3 linked regions of the Callithrix jacchus genome follow. The protein of the gene in region 3 binds, or shares a complex with, the protein of the main gene of each other region. Links are inferred from orthologs where the notes say so. Each region holds a gene or a part of one and is shown on either strand. Other genes may lie near its edges.

Region 1 (7,595 bases), on a different chromosome or scaffold from region 3:
TTTTTAATTTCACCACCAAAGATCATAAACTGTTTTGAGTTCTTCAGGAAAAAATACAATCAGTCCAAAGACTAATTAAATCCCCTCAGCTTTCTATACACCACTCTTGACATACAACAATAGAATGTAGCCACAAACTAAACCCTGAGCCCAGACACCATTAGAGCCATTGACAACCCGTTAAAAGGAAAGACAAGGAAAGACAACGCGTTAAAAGGAAAGACAAGGAAAGACAATGCGTTAAAAGGAAAGACAACGCGTTAAAAGGAAAGACAATGGAAGTTAACAGGTAGAAAGGCTGACATTCTCCAAACTAAACAAGGTGTTCTGCAGTGGACCATAGGAATGAACTCCAATACTTTCTAGGTCTAAAATAACTTGATAGCTCAGTAAATACACATGTATGAAAGAGTGCACTAATATAGACTTCCTACAAATTGAACCACAAAACTCAGACCAGTAAGACAACCTTGAGGCCTTGCCTTCAGATGGAACCCAATGGTCTGAACTCTGGAGAAACTCAAAGGACAGTTTTTCTACCATATAGGGGCTTTACTGAGAATATTTTATCAACTCATTATCTTACAAAGGTTAATTTTTATAAAATAGTCTAAACTTTGGCATCAAGCCAAAAAATGTTTTAAGTGCAGTGTCCTGCACATATCTTGCTTAAATTAACAGTAAGACTAGAATATTGTGTATGTTTGACTCTAGCTTCCAGAGTAAATTCAAAGTATTCTATTTGGGGAGAAAACGCAGGGGTGAGGAATTCTGAAGGAGGAGGCCTAGAATACAGAGTAGATCAGATGCTCAAGAAAAATAGCTGATGCTAGATGCCAACATAACCCCAGGATGTACTTTTTTTTTTTTTTTTTTTTTTGAGATGGAGTTTCGCTCTTGATACCCAGGCTGGAGTGCAATGGCGCAATCTCGGCTCACCGCAACCTCCGCCTCCTGGGTTCAGGCAATTCTCCTGCCTCAGCCTCCTGAGTAGCTGGGATCACAGGCACGCACCACCATGCCCAGCTAATTTTTTGTATTTTTAGTAGAGACGGGGTTTCACCATGTTGACCAGGATGGTCTCGATATTTTGACCTCGTGATCCACCGGCCTCGGCCTCCCAAAGTTCTGGGATTACAGGCATGAGCCACTGCGCCCGGCTGGATGTACTCTTTTGCCCATTTTAGCAGGGAAAAAGTCCTTTAAAACTCTGGATCCAATGTTAGTCTTTTCACTTTCAGAAGATAGGAAAGATGCATGAAGATGCAGAAAAGAAACTAAAGTTAATAGCTGGAAGGCCTAGCAAAAAGAGTTCTAAGAGTTGTGGAAGTTTAAATCACAATTTTAACAAGCAACATCTATTTTCAAGTACACAATGTCACCAAGACTCCTATTCCAGGCAACTAACTGCTTTATATGCATTATCTCATTTAATCTTTACAATAACTGCTCAGATGGCTGCTATTCTTATCATTTCAAAAGGAGGAAAACAGCTCAGAGGCATTCAGTAACTTGCTCAAGCTCACCAGTGAAGGGCTGGGACCCTTAACTCGAGGTATCTGACTCCAGATCCTATGCTCTTAATCATTATATGCTGCTTCCTCAAACAAAAGGAAAATCAAAGTAGAATTCTAAGGAGAAAAGTTTGCTAATAAACGAGAGAGCCTCTTGACTTTTAACGTCCAAAATTAAAGAAGGAAATTAAGGAATATCTATTGTCAGAAATTTTACTTTAATGATTCAGTAACTACTTGTTTCGCAAAACTTTGAAGTGGTCTGGCCTGAAGCCTGAAACAGAATCATTACTTTCTTGACATTCCTTTACAAATCTAAAAATCAAAATACACGTTCTATTAAAGTCCAGCCCCTATAACAAGGAACCCACATGAAATGTCCTATGTTAAATCTCTAATATTATAACTATACCCATTTTCTATTCTGATTTCTTCCAGTTCTCCAGGTTTTGAGTTTTCTAGACCTTCTCTTAAAAAGACAAATTTGTTTCCCAAACTCCAACACTGGGAGCTCATTTCAAACGAAAAAAAAAAAAAAAAAAAAAAAAAACTGCATGAAGAAAATCCCCATCCCCCAATCTCCGTTATCTTTCAAAAAACTGTAAATTAGTTAGAAAAGGTCATCTGTTATAAACAGCATCTAAAAGTGTTGAGTAACCACCATTTATTAAGTGTTTAACTTAATTTCTCGGTTATATCAAGATCTTCTATATTAAGAAATGTGAGTCCATTCTATCCAAGGTTCTAACTTTTTAAGTGAGAACATTTTGAAAGTAACACATGGGCTGAGGAAAATCTAAGAAACTCATTTAGAATTGGGGCTGAGGAACAGTAGCTAATTTATTTATTCACTTATTTCAAAGCTGCTTCTGACATTCTGAACTGATGAATGGCAAAGAAATGAGTTCGATACTGTATATAAAAAGGAAGTGATTGGTGCATAATTTAATGCATTGTATTAAGTATGGTTCAATATATAATAAGGACAGAAAATTGGCACTATAGAGAGGCAATCTGCCTTAGGTTTACAATATAGCAGCTCATCATTTCATCAAAAGCACTGTAATCACCTCCGCAAAATAAACTGCAATTAATTCCTGGTAACTGTTGGAATTAATCTAGACCTGTTCGCTCACTTTTTGAATTTTATTAGTGCCTTCTCTGGTGTACACAAACTGAAAATTTAACATTCTACTGAAGAGGGACCAGGAGAAGGGATCTACAAAACAACAAGAATATAAACAAGTTTATCTTCTGCTGATACTGATTAGGGAAATTAATCTCTCTCCCAGAGAGTGGAAGGATTTGCCAGCAAAGCCAGTCTACTAACCAAAACTCTTACTCTAAATCTTCAATTCCTTAAAATAATTTCCTTAAAAGTTTAAATACCAAAGTGGACAAAATTGTGTGTGTGTGTTGAGGGATGGGGAAGTTAGCTCTTAACACCACTGGTACAAATCACAATTTTTAATATCTAATGTACCCCTTAGACTACAACTTCAAGGTGATTTATAAAACTCGGATTCAGTTCTAACCGAGTGATTATTTACTTTGGATATATGTTAAAGGTTTTCCTTTAATATACTTCGATTTCAGAAAAATGAGACAATTCCAAAATTTTTGCATCATTTTAGTGCCGTATTTCATTAACTCATCATACGCTTTTTCTTCAATATCACTAAAACTGCCTACATTTAATCAGCCCCTACATTTTCACTATTTCAAGAATTAATGAGGCATATATTCATTTATAATATCTGCGTTGCCGTGACAGGTGATATGAACACAAGTATTCAATTCTGAAGTTCTCTTTAAAATGTTGCTATTTCCCTAAATTCCCGTTACTCTGACTCTCGGTCTAGGCAAGTTTTTCAAGGCGATTAAAACAAAACCTGCACGTGCAAACTAAAAAGTTCGCATCTTAAAGCCATCGCGGCAAATCCCTTAATGCACAAAGGCAAAGACACCCGCGACGGCTGGACAACCACAGGACAAGATCGCATCCGACCACGCGAGTCCGTCGGTCCGGAACTCAGGGCCGGGAGCCCACAGGGAAGACAGGACCAGCGTGCAGGGTCCGCCCCAGGGCCGAGTTTTCAATGGAACCGGAGGGGATGGGGGCGGGAAGGAGCGGAAGCTCCGGGTGCAAACCGCGACGACCGAGCTGCAGCTCATTTCTCTTCTCGGGGTTTTCGGGCTGGGTAAAGTCCCCTCCGGATGGGGCCACAGAGCAGGCTGGGTTTTTGAGGCGGGTAGGTGGGCGGCGCGAGGCCCCCACGGCCGGCGGGGAGGGCGAGCAGGGCTCAGACCCCGGCCCCTGAAAGCACTTTAGAGGCGTCTCCCACCCCCCACGACAAGATGGCGACGTGGACAGCGGGGGAGCCTGGCCGGCGAGGTTGGGGGAAAGAGAGGGGAGAGGAGAAGCGGCAGAAACAAAAAAGGCTGCCCCCCCCCACCCCCAGGAACGCCGACGCTGGCCCGGGAGCCCAGGGCGGGCCGGCGGGCAGGGGCGCCGGCGAAGGCGGCCGGCCGAGGGAATAGGCTTACTTTTTCTTGTCGTTCGCGCCGCTGGCGCCCTCCATGGTGAATCGGTCCCCGCGTGCCTTCACGGCGGGCAGCCCCCCGGCTCTCTCCGGCCTAAGCGCTGGCTCCCTCCACACGCGGAGAGAGAAGGAAAGGCAAGTCCAGAGGTGGAGGTGCGAGGCGGGAAACCGCTCGTGAGACCAGAAGGAAGAGAAGTGGGCGGCAATCGCCGGGGTCCGGGCCAGACTCCGAGCCTCTTTCCTCGGGCGGCTTGTCAGGGCCCAGCCCGACGCAGTGGCCGAAGCGACGACGAGGGTGATCCTCGCGTCCCCTCAGACGAGGCAGCTCTGTGCACTGAGAAGCTGAAGCAGCGGCAGGGGGCGGGCAAGGGCGGAGGCGCGCTCCGGCGCGCGGGGAGGGGAGAGGAGGCGGAAGCGCGCTCCGGCGCACGGAGAGGGGAGAGCGGGCGGGAGCGCGCCCGCCGCCTGCTCGGGCCGGCGCTTGCTCCCGCAGGCCCGCCTCACCTGAGGTGGAGGCGGGTTCCCCGAAAGCCAATGGCGAGCGACGCAGGCGGCCAGTCCCCACCCCAGCCCACGTCGCTCTCAGCCAATCAGGAGGCGGTCAGCTGAGGCACAGCTGGGACGCGCTGCCCCGCTCACGTGCTCGTCTGTGTTTAGCTGCGGAGGAAAGAGAAAAGAGCTGGGGGCGCGGCTCAGCCCGGGTCTGGGGACTCTGGGCTTTCTCCTAAGGAAGGCGGTGGCCAGCTTTGGGAGGCGCTGCTGAGAAGGGATTTCAGTTGCCGGGTCCCAAACCTGCATCATATTTTCATACTCTTGGTGCAGTAATGTAAGGCTCCGGCTCTCTTTCTCTTCCGCCGCAGTGCTGGGCAGGATTGCCGCCCAACTCTGATTGAGTTCCTAGTTCAAAAAAGCAGACTTCGCCTCGTGGCAGCAAGCCCTTCCATTGGTCTCATTGTTCAGATGTGTTACAACGGGTCTTTCCTTGTCAGGTTACCTAACCACGGGTCAGTGTCACCCACCGCACTCTGCCATGGAACACAGGGGAACTCTCCTTGTCCACTAAGTTTTTCTGTGGTGGAGTTTAATTAAAAATAAAAACTAACTTCTCTTGCTGTAAACCTCAGGGGAAATGAAGTTGCAGGGAAATCTTAAAATCTGAAACTATGTTAAGCAGTTACAAATAGGTATAAATGACCTTAATAAGAGTATAAACCAAATTCAGTAGAAAAAAATGGCCTTTGGCAACTTTGCAAGCTACTAAATAATCACTTTTGTCTTTGGAGGCATAAGCTTCAAGCCTGTCAGTCTTTTAAAAGAAAAAAAGAATATATTTTGAGCTCAACCAAGGAACGTTGCAAATATATCTCCACTTGATACTAAATTATTTTACTTCTCACCTTTGCCTTATGAGTTTCTTGTTAAAACCTAGCTTTGGGATGTAAACAGAGATATCCGTATTGGCTTTCAATTGTATTAGCATGTAAAAACAATGGCCTATATAAAGACATCAAACTCTGACAACAACTAATGTATACAGCACCTCTTTTTAACTGGTCAGTAGACCTATAAAGTTATAATTAAATGTTGACCTAGCTGACAAGATGTTTCCAGCTACTGAGCGGGGTGAGGCTGGAGGATTCCTTGAGCCTGGTAGTGCCAGCCTAGGGAGTTTCCAGCTTAGGCAACCTAACGAGACTCCATCTCTAAAAAAACTTTGATCTTTGTGCTACTTTTGTTTATCAGATCTACAACACTAAATGATATGTATTAGATCTTGAAAAGAACTAAGGGAAATGCCTGAAGAGAACTCAAAATAATTACTCATAATTTCTTTTTTAATTGTGGAAAAACTAATTCTGTAAATTACAAATCTTTTAGTTTAACATTCTGAAGATACTATGTTAAGAATCACTGTCTCCAGAATCAAGAGTGAGCTTATACACAGGCTTTGAAACTTACTGGCAAGTCATTTAATATCTCTATACCTCAGTTTACTTATTTGTAAAATGGATATAAAAGTGTCTGTACCACAGTATTATGGATGGTTAGATGAGATAATATGTATACACTTAGAACAATATCTGGTGCATAGTAAGCACTCAGTAAATGTTAGTATTGTTGGTGGCATTATTATTATTATTATTTTGAGATGGAGTCTTGCTCTGTCCCCCAGGCTGGAGTGCAGTGGTGCAATCTCAGCTCACTGCAACTCTGCTCCCAGGTTCAAGTGATTCTCTGGCCTCAGCCTCCAAAGGAGCTGGGATGACAGGTGCCCACCACCACACCCAGATAATTTTTATATTTTTAGTAGAGACAAGGTTTCATCATGTTGGCCTGGCTGGCCTTGAACTCCTTATCTCAGGTGATCTGCTTGCCTTGGCTTCCCAAAGTACAGGGATTACAGGCATGAGCCACCATGCCTGGTCTATTATTATTATTGCCCGCAAATTTATGCCTCTGTTAACAGTAATTACTTGGGCTTCTGCTACAGTTTAGCCATTTTTAACTATCCAGGAATACCAATTATGTTAATATAAATCCACATATATTTTCTGTTTTCAGCTTTGGAACTGCCCATGGTGTTCTCACCCTCACTTATAAGCATAGCTGCTCATCAATCATTTCTCTTTTCATTACACTTAGAGCAATTCTCTCTGGCCAGTAATTATAGTATATGTTTGTGACATCAAAAGACAAGCATTTTGTAATAGCAAACCTAAGTCATTTAAAAATTTTTTGGATCATTTCAAAAGTTTCAAGCAGAAAAATAATTTGATCAACAAAAGTTATTATTTTTTTTTTTTGAGATGGAGTTTCGCACTTGTTATCCAGGCTGGAGTGCAATGGCGCCATCTTGGCTCACCGCAATCACGGCCTCCTGGGTTCAGGCAATTCTCCTGCCTCAGCCTCCTGAGTAGCTGGGATTACAGACCCTCGCCACCATGCCCAGCTAATTTTTTTTTTGTATTTTTTGTAGAGACATGTTTCACCATGTTGACCAGGATGGTCTGACTCTCTTGACCTTGTGAACCACCTGCCTTGGCCTCCCAAAGTGCTGGGATTACAGGCATGAGCCACCGCGCCCGGCAAGTTATTTTTGAATATTCATTAAATTTGATCTAAACTTAATTTTCCTTTTCAAAAATGTATAAAATATATTTTTATGTATATATGTATATACACAAATGTAAATATGAACATGGAGAGGAAAGTAGTATACACATATGTATATATGTGTATATACAAATATAAATATCATGGAAAGTGGTGATATTCAGTCAACTAATTTTCATATAATTACAAAGGCACCAAATAGTATCCCCTAATTCAAACCTTTTAAATAGCCACAGAAAAGGAAAATTTCATATTGGATAAAATTTTAAATCCCCCTCTTTAAAACCATTTAATAAATACATTTAGGTTATTACTATGTAAGTGTATCTTAACAAACAGTCATTTAATCACCTTCTAACTTTGCAGAACTTTCTGAGTAGACTACAAGATTACTTGCAAAGGATGCCATTGACCCCTAGCCCAT
Region 2 (7,465 bases), on a different chromosome or scaffold from region 3:
AAGTACCCTCAAAAGGTAAGGCTTTGCCATAATTGAAGGCATTGAAAAGAATGGCCTTAGCTCTGAGGGCCATTCCAAAGGAGTGACAAAAATGTTTGAGATGAAGGCAGTGTTCCAGTGGCCAGCGTTCTGGATACATTCTGATGTCCAAAGGCTGCAGTGATCAGTAGGGGAATCTATCACATAGGGGAGGAAAGGTATCAGTGTTAGACGGTGAAGACAGAAAATAGGCCAAGCACAGTGACTCATGCCTATAATCCCAGCACTTTGGGACGCTGAGGCAGGAGGATTGCTCGATCCCAGGAATTTGAGACGAGCCTGGGCAGCATAGCAAGAACCCATCTCTAAAAAAAAAAAATTAGAAATTAGCTGGGCATTGTGGCATATACCTGTGGTCCCAGGTACTCAAGAGACTGAGGCAGGAGGATCCCTTGACATGGGAGCTCACAGCCACAGTGAGCCATGCCCCACTGCACTCCAGCCCAGGTGACAGAGTGAGAACCCATCTCAAAGCAAAACAACAAAAAGTTACAAATTCAGAACAGAAAACATGAAATTAGCAAATTCAGAAGAAGCTGGCCAGATCAGACAGACTTTGACAAGGGAAAAAAGACATTCATATGCTTTAATACACATACCTCTCCTGAGGAGCATGGTCTCTATCCTGAAAGAGACCACAGCTCATCTGGGAGATAAGACTAATAATCCAGACTAGTATATCAAAAATCTACAAGACAGGACAAAGAAGAGGGAAGACATGAAGCTGCAGTGGCTAAAACAGGGGTGAATGCTTTCACTTGCCACTTTCCTGAAGGAGGATCCTGGAAAGCATCTCATACCTCAGCCTCCCAACCTCCCCTCCGCTGGGGCTGAGCCTCCAGCTCTGACCTACTCTGATGGTCTGTGTCCCCAGAGCAGAGGGCCTGGATTGCCGTTGGAGCTGACAGTAATGTCTGGGGCACACCCAACGTGGCCCTCTAATGGTCAATTCTGTCTGGGCTGTTTGGAGATGCTTATCCTCTGGCCCTCTCAGCCCCAGGCAGCCTTGTAGAAGAGAGCAGCAGATTCAATTACTAAGCAGCGCATCTGGGGCTTCAGATAACCCAGCTCTTTACGTAACCGGAGGACACGTGGACTTCCCAGCCCAGCTGGGAAAAGCTGTGCATACACAGGAGTAATCATAATGAACTGTCCCTGTGCTTAGCGTCATCAAGCCCAAGCCTTAGTGGGTGCTACAGTCTGCATATTTGTGTCCTCTCAAAATACTTATGTTGAAATTCTTACTCCCAATGTAATGATATTTGAAAATGGAACTGTTGGGAGGTGATTAAGTCATGACAGTGAAGCCCTCGTGAATGGGATTAGTGCAGTTGTAAAAGAGGCCTAGCAGAATCCCCTCACCCCTTCCACCATGTGGAGACATAGCAAGAAGGCACCATCTATGAACCAGAAAATGGGCGCTTACCAGACACTGAATCTGATAGGCATCCAGAACCATGAGAAATGAAACTGTTGTTTATGAGCTACTCAGTTTATGGTACCTTGTAGCAGCCCAAATGGGCTAAGACAGTGGGGCATTCTTTATTCTACATATTAGTGAATAGTACCACTTTACATTTGGATCACACATTATAATCTGTAAAACACTTTGTGAGTCAATCTGGAAATCTGTAACTAAACTTACAAATTTCACACAGTAGGACAGGAAGAGCAGCTACCATCATTCCCATTTAGGGATAAGGAAACACAGGTTTAGAAAGGTAATGGGAGTATGTGGAACTGGAACAAAACCCCCGAGTTCTGGCTTTTTCAAGGCCCTGTGAACAGACAGCCTGCTGCCAAGCAGCACTGGACACGCGGCACAATTACAAGCAGACCTTCATTATCTGTCCATCATATAACCTAGCTTTTCCCAACACATAATTTCCTTTTTAAAACTGCCTCGGTGAAGATAAGGGTAATGCATATTTAGTATAAGCAACTTGGAAAATACAAAAAGATATGAAGAAAATGAAGTGAGATCTCATTGGATTTATAAATTTTTACTTTGCTCTTTTTACTTAACAGGATGTCCCATTATTAAGAATTCTTTCGAAATATTCATAGTAGCCCACAGTATCATATCATGTGGCTGGACCACAATGCATTTTGCTATTCCCTTATTGCTTTTCAGTTATGGTTTCTAATTTTTAGCTGTTATAAATAACACTATGATGACTACCTTGGCATCAGGTATTGCGTATTTTTATAATAAAAGATAAGTATCCAGCTTGTTGCCAGCTCCCCATAGCCACCTCACAGTGACCCCACCCTCACCCCATGAAAGCTGAGTCAGCAAATTTGGCAACATTGGCATCCTCAGGACCACAGCCAGCATTACGGAGCTCAGAGCACGGGCCGCACTACTTCAGAGGGCAGTATCACGGGAAAGGAAGGCAGAATGCGCAATGGCCTCGGCCTTGGACCCAGGCTCAGCCCCCTTTCCCCATCGCGAGCTCTATCTAGACTGCTTCTCTTCCTCATGCTGTCTGCAGGTCAAAGCATCTGAAGAGAGAAGACCAGCTGTGCTAAAACTGGAGGCTTCCTTTGACTCTAATCTAGTTCTGGAAAAAGGGCCACCCTTGTTGATCTTCCCCCAGTGTAAAAATAAAGTGTTCTTTCCATCTTTCCCACCACAGGGATGTATAGAGAAGACTCTGTACCATCTTCGCTTATGAAAAAGTGGGGAGAAAGCCAGTGGGTGCAGGGGGCATTTGCCTCCCTCTCCACTGCTCTCTGCAGCCTCTGAGCTCTGCCACTGCCGGACCCCTGACACCACGCAGATTTCAGCTAAGGGACTAATTAACCTCAGCAAGCTGAGCTACTGACTATACAACCCAGAAACAACAACATGTGACTCTTTCCGGTAGAGAACTGCCTCTGTTTAATCCTGAATCAATCTTGTGGGGCAGGTATATCACTCCAATTTTACACATGAGGAGACAGACCTCCGGGATGTTAGTGGCATGCCCAGCCATCACCCAATGATGAAGCCAGCACTCAAACCTGGATCATGTGACCCTAAATCCCATATTCTTGATTGTAATTGGGTGACTTCCCTACAAGGCCAATAAGCAAATCCCTATTACAGGTTCAAAAAGTTAGCTGAGCTGTCCATATTGAGGGCCAAGCCTTGTAGGATGCGAAATCTGATGAGCTTTTTGAAACATACACTTGGTGTGAGAAGCAGCAAAGTGAGACATGCTGGCCACCCTCTTGCCTGAGGTCAGCCCCTCAGTGGGCAGGCCAGCCCCCTTGGGATAGTTCTTAGCTTGGAGAAGTCTTTAAAAAAAAAAAAACGGTTTGTACTTTTACTTTGCTTGTGGAGTCTACAGCTGCCATAGATTGTTTCCTTCTCAGTAGACTGTTTTCTTTGGTGCCACCTCTCTGGGCTTAGAGGTATTTCCCCACACTCAGGCTGTTACCAGATCTGATTGAGATTTTTTCCTTAGGGCTTCTACCCATCAGCAGCCTTCTTCCTTTGGATGTCACAAGCTTCCAGCAGCACAATCTGTGGTTTGGCTCAAACTGTTCTGCCTGTGCTGCCATCCTGTTCCTACAATACTGCCTTCAGCTAAGAAAACTGACAAATTGCCAGCAGTAGAATCAAGAAGAAAGGGCCCGAGATGTAAAATGAGTTCCTCAGCATGAAGCGAACTCCCTGGGGAAAGTGGGGAGTACCTTCCCTCCCCTTCAGCCTCTAGAGGGGACTTAGCTCCTGCTGCTGCCCCTCCCACTCCCTGCCCAGAATACACTCTCTCCATCTCCTAGGTCTGTCTGTACTATGCTCATATTTCAAGAGCGAGCATCCGTTTCCCCCAGGAAGGCCTCACCTGTGCTGACTTCTCCAAGTCCCACTTCAGAGATTACACACACACGATTCAGCCCTGTGTTGCTCTCCCTTGATTTCACCTCTGTGGCTTCTGTCTCCCTAACTAGACTACATACTTCCCAGGGAAAGAACCCCATACCTGTTCTTTTGGGGTCCTCTAAAGCATCCGTAGTACAAAGTGGTACAAACTGGAGACATCAGATAGAAACCACTTCAATGACTTCAGTTCTGTGGATTCCTCAAAGCTGCTCACTGTTCTAGATCTTTCCTAAGAATTCTAACCCAGCTCTTGATTAGAAGAAAAGGTTTCCATCTGGGAAGAGTCACCCTGTGGACACTCAAAGTGTGTGTGTGTGTGTGTGTGTGTATGTCGGTGTTTGTCACCTCTGTCAATCAAATCTGGGGTCTGAACGAATGCTGCTGCTAACTGCCTGTGGAGTCACCCAGAGCAGCACCTCCCAAACTTTGCTGTGGCCAGGAATCACCCAGGGATCTTGTTACAGGGCAGGTTTAGGAGGGTCTGGGCTGGAGCCTGGCATTCTGCCTTTCTAACAACCTCCCAGATGATGCTGATTCTACTGGTCTGTGACCTCACATTTTGAGTAGAAAGAGACGCAGAGACACGAGGAATCTTGAGACTGAAGATGCCAACTGGGAGCACTTTGGGAGGCCAAAGCGGGCAGATCATGAGGTCAGAGTTCGAGACCAGCCTGACTAATGTGGTGAAACCCCATCTCTACTAAAAATACAAAAATTAGCTGGGCATGGTGGCACGCGCCTGTAATCCCAGCTAATCAGGAGGCTGAGCCAGGAGACTCACTTGAACCAGGAAGCAGAGGTTGCGGTGAGTTGAGATCATGCCACTGTACTCCAGCTGGGCGACAGAGCAAGACCCCATCTCAAAAAAAAAAGGCGGGGGGGGGGGTTAGTGCTGCCCGCTGCCATCCTAATCTGAAGTACATAAAGTCCAACAAGTCTGATCTTCTCTCTTGCCAGGAAGAATCCTATTCTCTTTGTATCTTTCTTTATGGGATTTTACTAAGCCCTACATTGATGTCCCTCTCCTCCTTCGTGTCTTCCCTACCTGTATCATTTTATCCCTTCCTATGTCTTCAAAACCCACCCCTCAGACCAGCTCAAGCCCTACTTCCTCCAGCAGTGTCCCTGGCCCCTCAGCAGCATTCTCCAGAGCACTTCCTGCCCACATTACTCACAGGCTCTTATTAAAGGTCTCCCTGTCTTGCTGGCTTTTCTATGCAAACTGGACTATAAGTACCTGGGGAAGGGCACAGACACAACATCCTTTACTTTGGTGTACCCTTCACTAGAACCTGGGCCAGAGCAGACAAACTAGGCAAACATTTGCTAACAGATTGTAAAAGACAATCAAAAAATGCCCTTTACTCTTTTCCTTTCCCTCTCCAGAAGGAAAGAAAAAGTGATCCCAGCTGCCTTGGCCTCCATCCCCAGCCCAGCCTCGCTCCTCTCCTGGGTGCTGCAGCTGGGGCGGCTCAGATTTTATTTCGCTCTCTACAGCTCCTCTTCCCTTCAGTGAAGAGTTAAAACATTGGGAAGGCTCCTTCCCACTTGGAAATCTCCATTTCCTCCTGCAGCGTGAACAAGAGAACTCTATGGACAGAGGCTGAGCGAGCCAACTGCGCAGGGAGTGAACTCACTCTGAATGGTGCTGTTCTAACACCCGCCAAGTCAAGTCATTAAGATGCCATCCCCGAGGTGCAGCCCCCAGCGTCACCTCTGGATATCCATATCCTCAAGCCCGCCAGCAGAAAGGATGAATGGTGAGCACAGAGCTGGTGAAAGCAAGCTCTTTCATGAGCAGGGCGTGAGAGGACCTCTCTGGTTCTTCTAAGGTGGGGGTGGGGTGCTCCGGAGTAGAAGTTGTCCTCCTCTCTCCCACTGCCTCCTCTACCACACCAAACTAAAATTAACCCTCAGATTTACCGGGAGTTACCCAAACGATTGCTCCACACAAGGCAACCAAGAAGCGGGGTGGGTAATAGCATTAGAGAAAATATCTGCAATGCCAAAAATAATCACTGTGTCATGAGAAAACAGAGCTGGGCTGCCTCAGAGGCCAGCACTGGGTATATACAGGAAGGAGGGGGCAGAAATTCCCCTGGCAATGTCGTCAAACATTCTGGATGGAAAAAGGCAGGGGGGTGGGGGAGGTGAAGGGAGTGGTGACGTGCATAACCCGGACAGGCAGTTGTCAGAGAGAACTCTTTTCAAGTACAGAATATGATTTTAAGGGTCAGTTCTCTCTTCCTTATTTCAGATACTTTAATTTCAAAGAAAACAACACTTGTTTAGACTTTTAATCAAGACTGATGCTTGATCACATGGTAATAGTGAAATATCCTAGACTCTGCCTTACTAATCCCAACATGTTGCAGAACTTCTGGTTCCCGGAATTTGAAGTATTTCAAAACAGCAAGAGAAGCGGGAGAAAGCACGGGATCCCTCACTTCCTACCCCCATCCCATAACCCCTTCTCCCCTCTCTGTTAAAAAAAGAAAAAGGAAAAGGAAAAGAGGAATGAGCTGGTAGAGAATCTCTCTGGGGCTTCCTTTATAAAGAACCTTGATCTGAGGCCTGTTCACATGTCCAGCATTGTGGGATCTGATTCATGCCACAGTGCAAGCACTTGCTTTCTCCCAATTCTGCCCCCTCTTGCTCTGATGAGAAGTGAGATGTCTGTGCACATTTCCATTCCTTTGTAAAGAAGTCATCAAAAGCCACAGGAAATGCTAAAAGTCTTCTCCAAATTTATATCATGATCTCAAATGATAACATTGAGCAATTTGGGAAACAGAATTGTACTTTTTCCCCCAGAAATGGCTTATTCCTTCCACTAATTCAACCTATATTAGTGATTCCCTCTTCCTCTGCTGGGGCTGTGAGCAGTAGAATGAAATGTAGAACAACTGTCCCTGACCTCAGGGTGCTTGCAGACAAGTGAAGAGGCAGGTCCTGAAGAGTGGGCTGAACAGTCAGTGCTGTAGGAGTTTGGGAGGAGAAAGCCCACGAGCCTGGAGAAGATAGGGAGAACTCTGCTGGAGGCAGGCTTTGAAGGAAGAGCAGGACATGGGGAGGAAATCAGGATGGCAGAGGAATGACAAAGACACACTATGGGAATGGGCACAGGTGCCAGTGGTTGGGAGACAGGCTAAGAAAAGGTAGCAAGGCAGTGAGAGTCTGGGTGGGGAGAACACATTCATTAAACAGAACTTGCTGAGTATCCAGGAGGTGCCAAGCACACAAAAGGGCTTTAAACAAAAGGACAGGTAGCTAAATTCAGATGACCAGATAATGGCCGAGGCTGTTGTCTTATTCATGGCTGAGGTGCCAGGTGGTAGGCAGTGCCAGAACCCAACCTCCATGCCCCTCTTGCTGGCCAGCCTTTGGCCCTGCTGGACAGCAAGTATGAGAACCCCTCTTTTCTTGGCACCAAAGCCAAGGAAAATGAAACCCTCTGTTGGAAGCTCTAAATATGGCAGCAACCCTTGGGCTGCCACAGGCTGGAGCCTCAGCTTAGTCCACAGAGACTTCCACAAGGCATTCTTGCTGAACAGT
Region 3 (7,422 bases):
GGTCCCAACCTATTTTATTACTCCTTTTCTTTACATATGTTTTAATGGAACAGATGAAGTTTTGGTTTAAATTCCAAAAATGTTATGTATACAATTTTAGCACTTCTATTTTAATGGGAAAATGTTTTCCTTCAGAGTACCTAGGATACTCCAACGGAAAAGTTCAACACTTTCCCATGATCCTCAGTCCTCTGAATTTCTCTTCATCCTATACCCCCCAAGTCAAGGCACACTGCTCATCACAAACCAGCAGACCATGGTTTCTTTCTACTGGGTATCACTGAGTCTTCTTAATGAAAACAAGCATGAGCAAGACACAGGATCAAAGGGCAGGGTAAGGGCAAAAAGGGGAAAATCCCAAAAAGACCAGAGAAAGTGGAAACAGGAGCTTGGTTACATCAGTGACTACAATTACATTTGTTTTTCTCCTGTATTACTTCATTTTTCCCCTGTGGTTCCTTTTTTTAAAGTAGTTGCATAAACAGTGGCCAGATAAGGATGTCTGAAGTAGAAATTCAGGGGAAAACAAAGCCTACACTGAATGGGCCACAGCCAATCATGTATCATCTGATTTCCAGGCCCTGACATAAAGAACATGCAATATAGATGTAAATAAAAAAGAACATCAGATTCTTAGTCAGAAAATCTGAATTTAAGGCCTAATATGCTGCAGAATTTCCAACGTGTGAACTAACTTTCCTGAGTCCCACTTTTCTAATCTATAAAAAGAGATACAACCACCTACCTACTGCTTTGAAAGCTGACATGAGAAAAATACTACACATCTGCTGCACAGAACTTTTAAAATCACTATCATGTTACGAAGAATAATAAAATTCTAAACTGAAGTCTCCCTCTGCAATCACATACAAAAACCATATTCTGACATCTCTTAACACTTATACCAACAGGTGCATAATTCAAGTGGATATATACAAAAGTGGATTTTTCAGCCACTATCTGAAATAAACATTGCACAGTCACCTAATAAAAAGTTTTAGAGCCCAACCATAGAGTATGATTATTCACATATAAAGCTAGTACTATTCACCCCCTTTCAACAAAAAATATATATCAAATTGCAGTTCCAACAGTGTGTAAGCTACATCTCATTTAATGTTCTACCTATAACTAGTGTAGTTAAAAAAAAAAAAAAAAAGCTTAAGTTCGATAGCTGAATGACTTAAGCCTGAACACCTGCTAGGTTACTATAAGTGGTAGACCTCTGCCAAGTCTGAGCTGAAAATCACTCAAATGTAAATTACGAATAACACTACCCACTGCATAAAGATTATTGTGGCCACAAGAGGTGGCTCAAGTCTGTAACTACAGCACTTTGGGAGGTCCAGGCAGGAGGATCACCTGAGCCCAGGAGTTCAAGATCAAATGATCAGCAAGACCCTGACCCTACAAAAAAAATGTTTTTCATTTGGTCTAGCACAGCACAGTCAAGCTGTGCCTACAGTCCCAGCTACTTCGAAGCTGAGGTGGTAGGATCGCTGGAGCCCAGGAAGTGGAAGCTGCAGTGGGCCATGCTTATAGCCTTGTACTCCAGCCTGGGCAACAAAGGAAGCCCCTGCTTCAAAAAAAAAAAAAAAAAATTACTCTGATTGTACCTGCATTGACCCTAATCTGATGCCTAACACACTGCGGTTGCTCAATATACAGTGGGTGGTATTTTGATTGCCTTCTCATTTCCACCAAGCAAACAACCTTGTTTTTTCAGGAATACTTACATGTTCAAACACAATTACCAAAACCTCTTTCAGCCAAGAAGTACAATTAAAGGAATTCCTGAATATCATTTATAGATCCTGAAGTTGTGTCTCTAAAATTAATATAAGCATAAGATCAAATCCAAAGAGTTTAAAGGCCATCCCTTCTTCATCCAGTCCCTTATTACCTGTTACTAGGTACAGTTAGGTGACTTAAAACCCCAAATACTAGAACTCTTGAGGAAGGCAGTAGCTATTTTCTAATAGCATCCCTACCAGAAGCAACTGCTCTCAGAGCCAGGCTGTCTGCTGTCCCTTATCTAAGAATGACAGGTGAAAGGACTTGGAAAGCTAAATTAACTAAGGAAAGCAGATCAAGAAAGATTTGGGACATCATCTTCAAGAATCCAATTTAAACTTATGTCCCAACTATATACTTTGGTCAGTCTTCACAGCCCTGTTCCCTCAAACTAATTTCTTTCCTGCTCTGAGCTCAGGACTTATGTTCAGATGTGTTCCATGACAACGTTCATTTTTAAAAGTATCAATGAAAAGCTAGTAAAAGACCAAGGCTGAGATTTCATCAGATCCCCCTTTTCCTTCCAGTTTAATATGATTCAACTGTTCGTAAGACTACATGAAATTAAGATGTGTGCCTTCACCCAGCAATGAAGTGGCAATACGTAAATGAGACTCCACATTGTATTTTTCCCCACAAAATTTTCATGTTTATAATTTTTCTCATTGCCTATGTTCAGCCTTCCGAGCAGCCTGAGAATCACATGTAATGACTGTCAAAACAGATGGTCTCACACACACTCCAAAAAAACCACTGGGAAGAGTCAGCATGTGTGTACAAACATGTAAGTGTGATGCTCTCCCAAGTCCATCTCTCAAAACTCACAAAATCAGACAGAGACTGATGGTGGAGGAGGGAGGCCTGGGAGTAGCTGGATATAAAGAAAAGATCAAGATCTGAGAAGCAAAATGAATAAGACCTGCAAGAGAGTATTAAGGAAGAAAGAGTGCACCGTGAGGGAGAAAAAGAGAAAATAGACTAGGTAGGAAGTGAAGAAATCTGTGGAGAAAAAAACGCAACAGTAAAGAGAAAACAAAAAGATCTCACCAAATTGGGAGGATAAAACAAGTCCTCCTGCTCCAATTTCGTGTTGTTTTTTCCAGGAAGCTACAAAACAGTTCTTTTTCAACAGAAGGATAACATTAACAAAGCAAATAAAGGAAACCAATGCTAAAAATGTAGCCTACCTACACAGAGAGATCCGAAAACGGAAATACTTCTTTTCCCTTTTTGTAATGGGTTTCAAAACAGTAGGAACAGGGAGAGGGTAGGAGCTATAAGAGGGGGAGGGGAGTAGCCACGCTCTTCCTGAATATGGAGAGTCTTTCGACTAAACGCTTAAATTTACCTTTTTGTGGTCAGCCGGCAAATTCTTAACTGAACACAGCGTTTGACTCTCAATCAAAATGTGACGAGTGATTCAGACAGCACAGGAAATTTAAGTGCTTATGCAAACACAAGACAGATGCAGCATCAGGACTTGCTTTGGGTGGTACTCTAACACCCCCTCACTGGGTGGCTAAAACGCCACTAAGGAATGAATTGTGACTAACAGTGGAATGGAAGAAAAGAAGAAAGTAGCAAAGTTAAAGCGCCTACGTTTAGCCAGAAAACTATGCAATTAGCCGGAGAAGTCTGTGGACTGGCAGTAAGTGGAAAACAGCGGACACAAAGCGGCTAACCAGATCAAACAGTTACCCCGAATTCTGTCCGTCTTCCTTACGGGGTGCTATACACAAAGTCCTTTCTATACAGAGGAAGGCTGCTCCTCAGCCTAGGCAGTTACCGTCACGAGAGGGGCTGCCCGCCGAGAAGGGCATGTCCAGCGCAAACCCGCAGCCCACACTTACTTTCGTCCGGCCATTGATTTTGTAGCTGCCCAGCTTCCCGTTACAGTGGCGGATCAGGTCGTCCATGCTGCTCATGAGCAGCCCAATGGTTTCGCAGCCGGGCTCCTTGCCCTCGATCCAGGTGATCTTATCGCCTCGGATGTCCTTGGACGAATCACTCTTCTGGCTGACTAGCTGCCCGTCCGTGAACTTCCCGGTGTCGTGCAGGGCGCGCACCTCGTCGCCGATCTGCTGTCCGGTCTCCTTGCCGAGGAAGTCGTCCACCACACAGATGCCGTGCTTGTTCATGCAGGGCACGATGTACTCGAGCGCCAGTTTCAGCGCCGGCAGGGGCTTCGTCTGCCCGTTGGGCCGCAGGCCGCCGCTGTGGCTCAGCGCATCCCCGGGCGTGTTGCTCGGGGGGTACAGGTTCGCCTTCTCCTGGAACAGCGACGAGCGGGCCGGCTGCTCCTCCTTCCCGGGCTCGGCCTCCGCTGCCACCGCCGAGGCCTGGCCGCCGGGGGCCGCGCGAGACGGGGACGCGGCCGCCGCGGGGTCGGCCGCGGGCTTGGCCTTTGCCTTTGCCTTGGCCGCGTCCCCGGAGGCGCTGTCCCGGCGCGCCGCTGCCTTCCTGGCCTCCCGGGCCCCGGACCTGGGCGGCGGCGCTGCAGCCGGCGGCGCGGGGCCGGAGTGCTGGTGCGGGCCCACTCCGTGGCCGAGGGCGCCCTCGCTGCCCTGGCACACGAGCTTGTGCTTCTTCCAGTCCTGACGCTGGTGCTCCTTGCAGCAGTAGAAGGAGCTGCGGCAGCGGCTGCAGCGCAGCAGGTTCTCCATCTTCCCGCATAGCTCGCAGTACTGCCGGTCTCGCTCGCTCGGGCTCGGCCCGCCGGGTCCGCCGCTGTCATTGGCCATGGCGGCGGCGGCGGCAACGGCGGCGGCTGCGCCCGAGCAGGAGGGGTGGCGGCCGGACGGCCTCGCCCGAGGCTGGGGAGCGGGGAGAGAAATCGGGGCCGTTACTGCGCCATGCACCCGCTACCCTCGCCTCAGGGAGGCCGGCACCCCGCGCCCTCGGCCCGGCCGCTTCCGAGTCCTAGGCTCCGGCGCAGAGCCGGTGGCCGCCTTAGCGCCTCATCGCCGCCGTGGGCTGAGAAAACGTGGCCTGTGCGGCGAACGGCAACCTGGGCTCGGGCGCGCGGGCCTGGGGAGCGTAAGACCGGCCCCCTCGGCCGCCGTCGCCGCCTCAGCGTCCCGGGCGGCCCGGCCCAGGCTGTGGAGGAGCGCAGGGCATGCGGGCGCCACTCGCTCTGCGCGCTCTGCACGTACACCACGGCCCCGCGGCGACCCGGGCGGGCGGCGCGCGAGGGCGGAGGGGGCGGAGGGAGGGCCGGGGGGAGGGCCGAGGGGCGGGGGCCGCGCTCACACTTGGGCGCTGGCGCGGCGCCTGGGCCGCCTGCGCTCCTCCGCACTTGGCGGGGCCGGACCTCGGCCTCAGAGCCGGGTCGCCCGCCCTCCGTCCACCCGGGGCGGGGCCGGGACGCAGAGGCCGGTGAGCTGCCTCAGCCCGCAGCGGCCTGCGCGGGGACGCAGAGGGGCCGGCCCGCGAGCGGCGGAAAGGCGTGGGGCCGCGCGGGCAGCGCCTACACCTGCTAGGGGAGGGCGCCGGCCGCGAGCGGGTGGCGGAGCGGCGGCGGCGGCGGCGTAATCATGGCTGCTCTTCCTGCAGGCGGGCGCGAGTTGTGCGAGGCGCGCTCGGGTTAGGGTTACAAGGTGGCTACTGTGATCCTCATTTTGTAGAGGAGGAAACGGAAATTCAGAGAAGTAAAGTAACTTGCCCAAGGTCACGCAGAACTGACTGGGACTGAATCCAGCAATCAGGCGCTCAGATTCCAAGGCTGTTTTTTCCATTGCTCCATCCAGCCTCTATTTCAAGAAGCCGTGAAATGGTTAAGAACAAAAATAAGTATTACTGTGATGTTAATCCAATCTCTTGTGCCCCGTTTCAACCTAATTTAAAGGTTATGAAATTTGAGGGTTAAAATCAAAAACATTTTTAAAACCTTTGAAATCCCGCCGAGTTCGAACCCCCATGATTGGGCTACCAAGTCAAATGAGTGCTTATTCCAATATCCAATTTAAACTGATGGAATTATCCCTGAAAAGTTAATTTTGGTAGTAAGTGAGCAGTACTACTACATTAACGACTCTCACATTTATTTTTAATAGAATCTGTGCTACGCTGATGGATACAATTCTTTGTTTTATAGAGCATAAAAACCTTTCCATAAATAAGCCAAGGATGTTTCTGCTGTTATTTGTCTTAAGAATAAAAAGGCCTGTGACTTAGAGTTTAACAGTCTTTATCGAACACTTACTGTGGAAAATTCGGTGCTAGGCTTGTGTATCACTTGAATATACTGTAACTTCAGTCCTTGAGATATAGCCTTCCAAGCTTAAAGAAGCTGCAATATGTATTTCAAAAGCAGGATGTATGGAATTACTATAAACCACATTGTAGAATTTAAAAAAAATAAAGCTTGAATCCAAAAATATAAAACCTCTTCATCAAATATACATAATTTAAAACTGTTATAAAAGTCTGCTACATACGTAAATGGCATTCTGGGGATCCAGTCAGGTGGAAGAGGATAATAATTCAATCAGCTTGTCATTTGGGAAACTGAGGTAAATATACTCACATCTTCAAATTCCAAACCGAACTAAAAATCCACATTTCTGTAAAGAATTAAGACCTGGATCTGTCTTATGTGTATCCTACTTTCCCAGAGCTTTATTAAATACAGTAAAATGTCATTGTTGCAGACATTACTGATTAGGCTGTTCAACAGATGAATTGGGAGTGTACCATGTGCTACACTATCCTTGACAAACAAATGAATTAGTCATACTACACTCAGAGACACATAGTCCAATGCAGGAGGCAGATATGTAAAGAAGGACAATCCAGAGTTCGGAGTTTCCTAAAAGAGGGATGAATAGGATGGAATGGTAACACAGAAAAAGGAATTGGCTTTAAAACCCAGAAGCAAGCTATCTGTGAAACTGCTTTGCTATGTGTGTGTTCAACTCAGAGAGTTGAACCTATGTTTTGATTCAGCAGTTTAGAAACACATTTCATGTTAGAATCTAGAAAGAATCTAGCTCTGCTGTTTGCACTAATAAAATCTAAGCAAATTAATTCAGAAATTCTTAAAATGTAAAGCAGCTATCTCATGGCTTACGAAAAACTTTTAAAACATTTTTCATACACAAAAATTATGTAAAGTATAACAGATAAAAGTAGAGTCTAATACCTCTTGGGCCTTCTTTTACTACAGTAATTATAAGTGATTATTAATTATTCACAAGAGCAAGAACTTTACTAGGAACACTCATTCCATGAAACTTGATTCTTACAACAATTTCTTTAAAATTCACTATTTCAATCTATGGTGTGTCCAAAAATTATTTACATCTCTATATGCTCTTCTCATGTATTTTAACTGAATTTTACTTAAAAGAATAGATGTCTATATCAAAACCTTTATAAGCTTTCTTGTTCCAATTAAGTATACAAAATCACAAATTAAACATGTATATCCTAAATATACTTAACCCATCAAGTATAACACTTGCAATATTTTAAAAATAGAATGGACAAATATAAAATACTGATTTCAAATAGTTCCAAAGATCCTTGATTTCAGGATTTCCACCTATTCAGGCTTAATAATCTGAACGAATTCCAAATTAGTGAGGTTTCACCACACCATTTGCTGGTGAACAATCTTGTCGCCAACCA

The links.
Region 1: the proteins of EGLN1 (region 3) and HIF1A are in contact, whole or in part, in a crystal structure (PDB 3HQR), measured with the Homo sapiens proteins. The link is inferred for Callithrix jacchus from reciprocal best matches to the Homo sapiens genes EGLN1 and HIF1A. Residues at the interface, in NP_071334.1 of Homo sapiens: Gln239, Leu240, Val241, Ser242, Gln243, Lys244, Ile251, Arg252, Trp258, Lys262, Asp277, Ile280, Arg281, Ile292, Asn293, Gly294, Arg295, Thr296, Lys297, Tyr310, Val311, Arg312, His313, Val314, Asp315, Pro317, Asn318, Asp320, Arg322, Arg370; in NP_001521.1 of Homo sapiens: Leu559, Glu560, Met561, Leu562, Ala563, Pro564, Tyr565, Ile566, Pro567, Met568, Asp570, Asp571, Phe572, Gln573, Leu574.
Region 2: the proteins of EGLN1 (region 3) and EPAS1 are in contact, whole or in part, in a crystal structure (PDB 7Q5X), measured with the Homo sapiens proteins. The link is inferred for Callithrix jacchus from reciprocal best matches to the Homo sapiens genes EGLN1 and EPAS1. Residues at the interface, in NP_071334.1 of Homo sapiens: Gln239, Leu240, Val241, Ser242, Lys244, Ile251, Arg252, Trp258, Asp277, Ile280, Arg281, Ile292, Asn293, Gly294, Arg295, Thr296, Lys297, Tyr310, Val311, Arg312, His313, Val314, Asp315, Pro317, Asn318, Asp320, Arg322, Arg370, Trp389, Tyr390; in NP_001421.2 of Homo sapiens: Asp525, Leu526, Glu527, Thr528, Leu529, Ala530, Pro531, Tyr532, Ile533, Pro534, Met535, Asp536, Gly537, Glu538, Asp539, Phe540, Gln541, Leu542.

What each region holds. Positions count from the first base shown.
Region 1 is NC_133509.1:96,403,732-96,411,326, reverse strand, and holds the start of HIF1A (hypoxia-inducible factor 1-alpha), read right to left. Parts: upstream 4,394-7,595; 5' UTR 4,097-4,393; coding exon 4,062-4,096; intron 1-4,061.
Region 2 is NC_133515.1:68,437,376-68,444,840, forward strand, and holds the start of EPAS1 (endothelial PAS domain-containing protein 1), read right to left. Parts: upstream 4,394-7,465; 5' UTR 4,070-4,393; coding exon 4,011-4,069; intron 1-4,010.
Region 3 is NC_133520.1:53,462,122-53,469,543, reverse strand, and holds the start of EGLN1 (egl nine homolog 1), read right to left. Parts: upstream 4,947-7,422; 5' UTR 4,536-4,946; coding exon 3,645-4,535; intron 1-3,644. UniProt on the Homo sapiens protein: Cellular oxygen sensor that catalyzes, under normoxic conditions, the post-translational formation of 4-hydroxyproline in hypoxia-inducible factor (HIF) alpha proteins.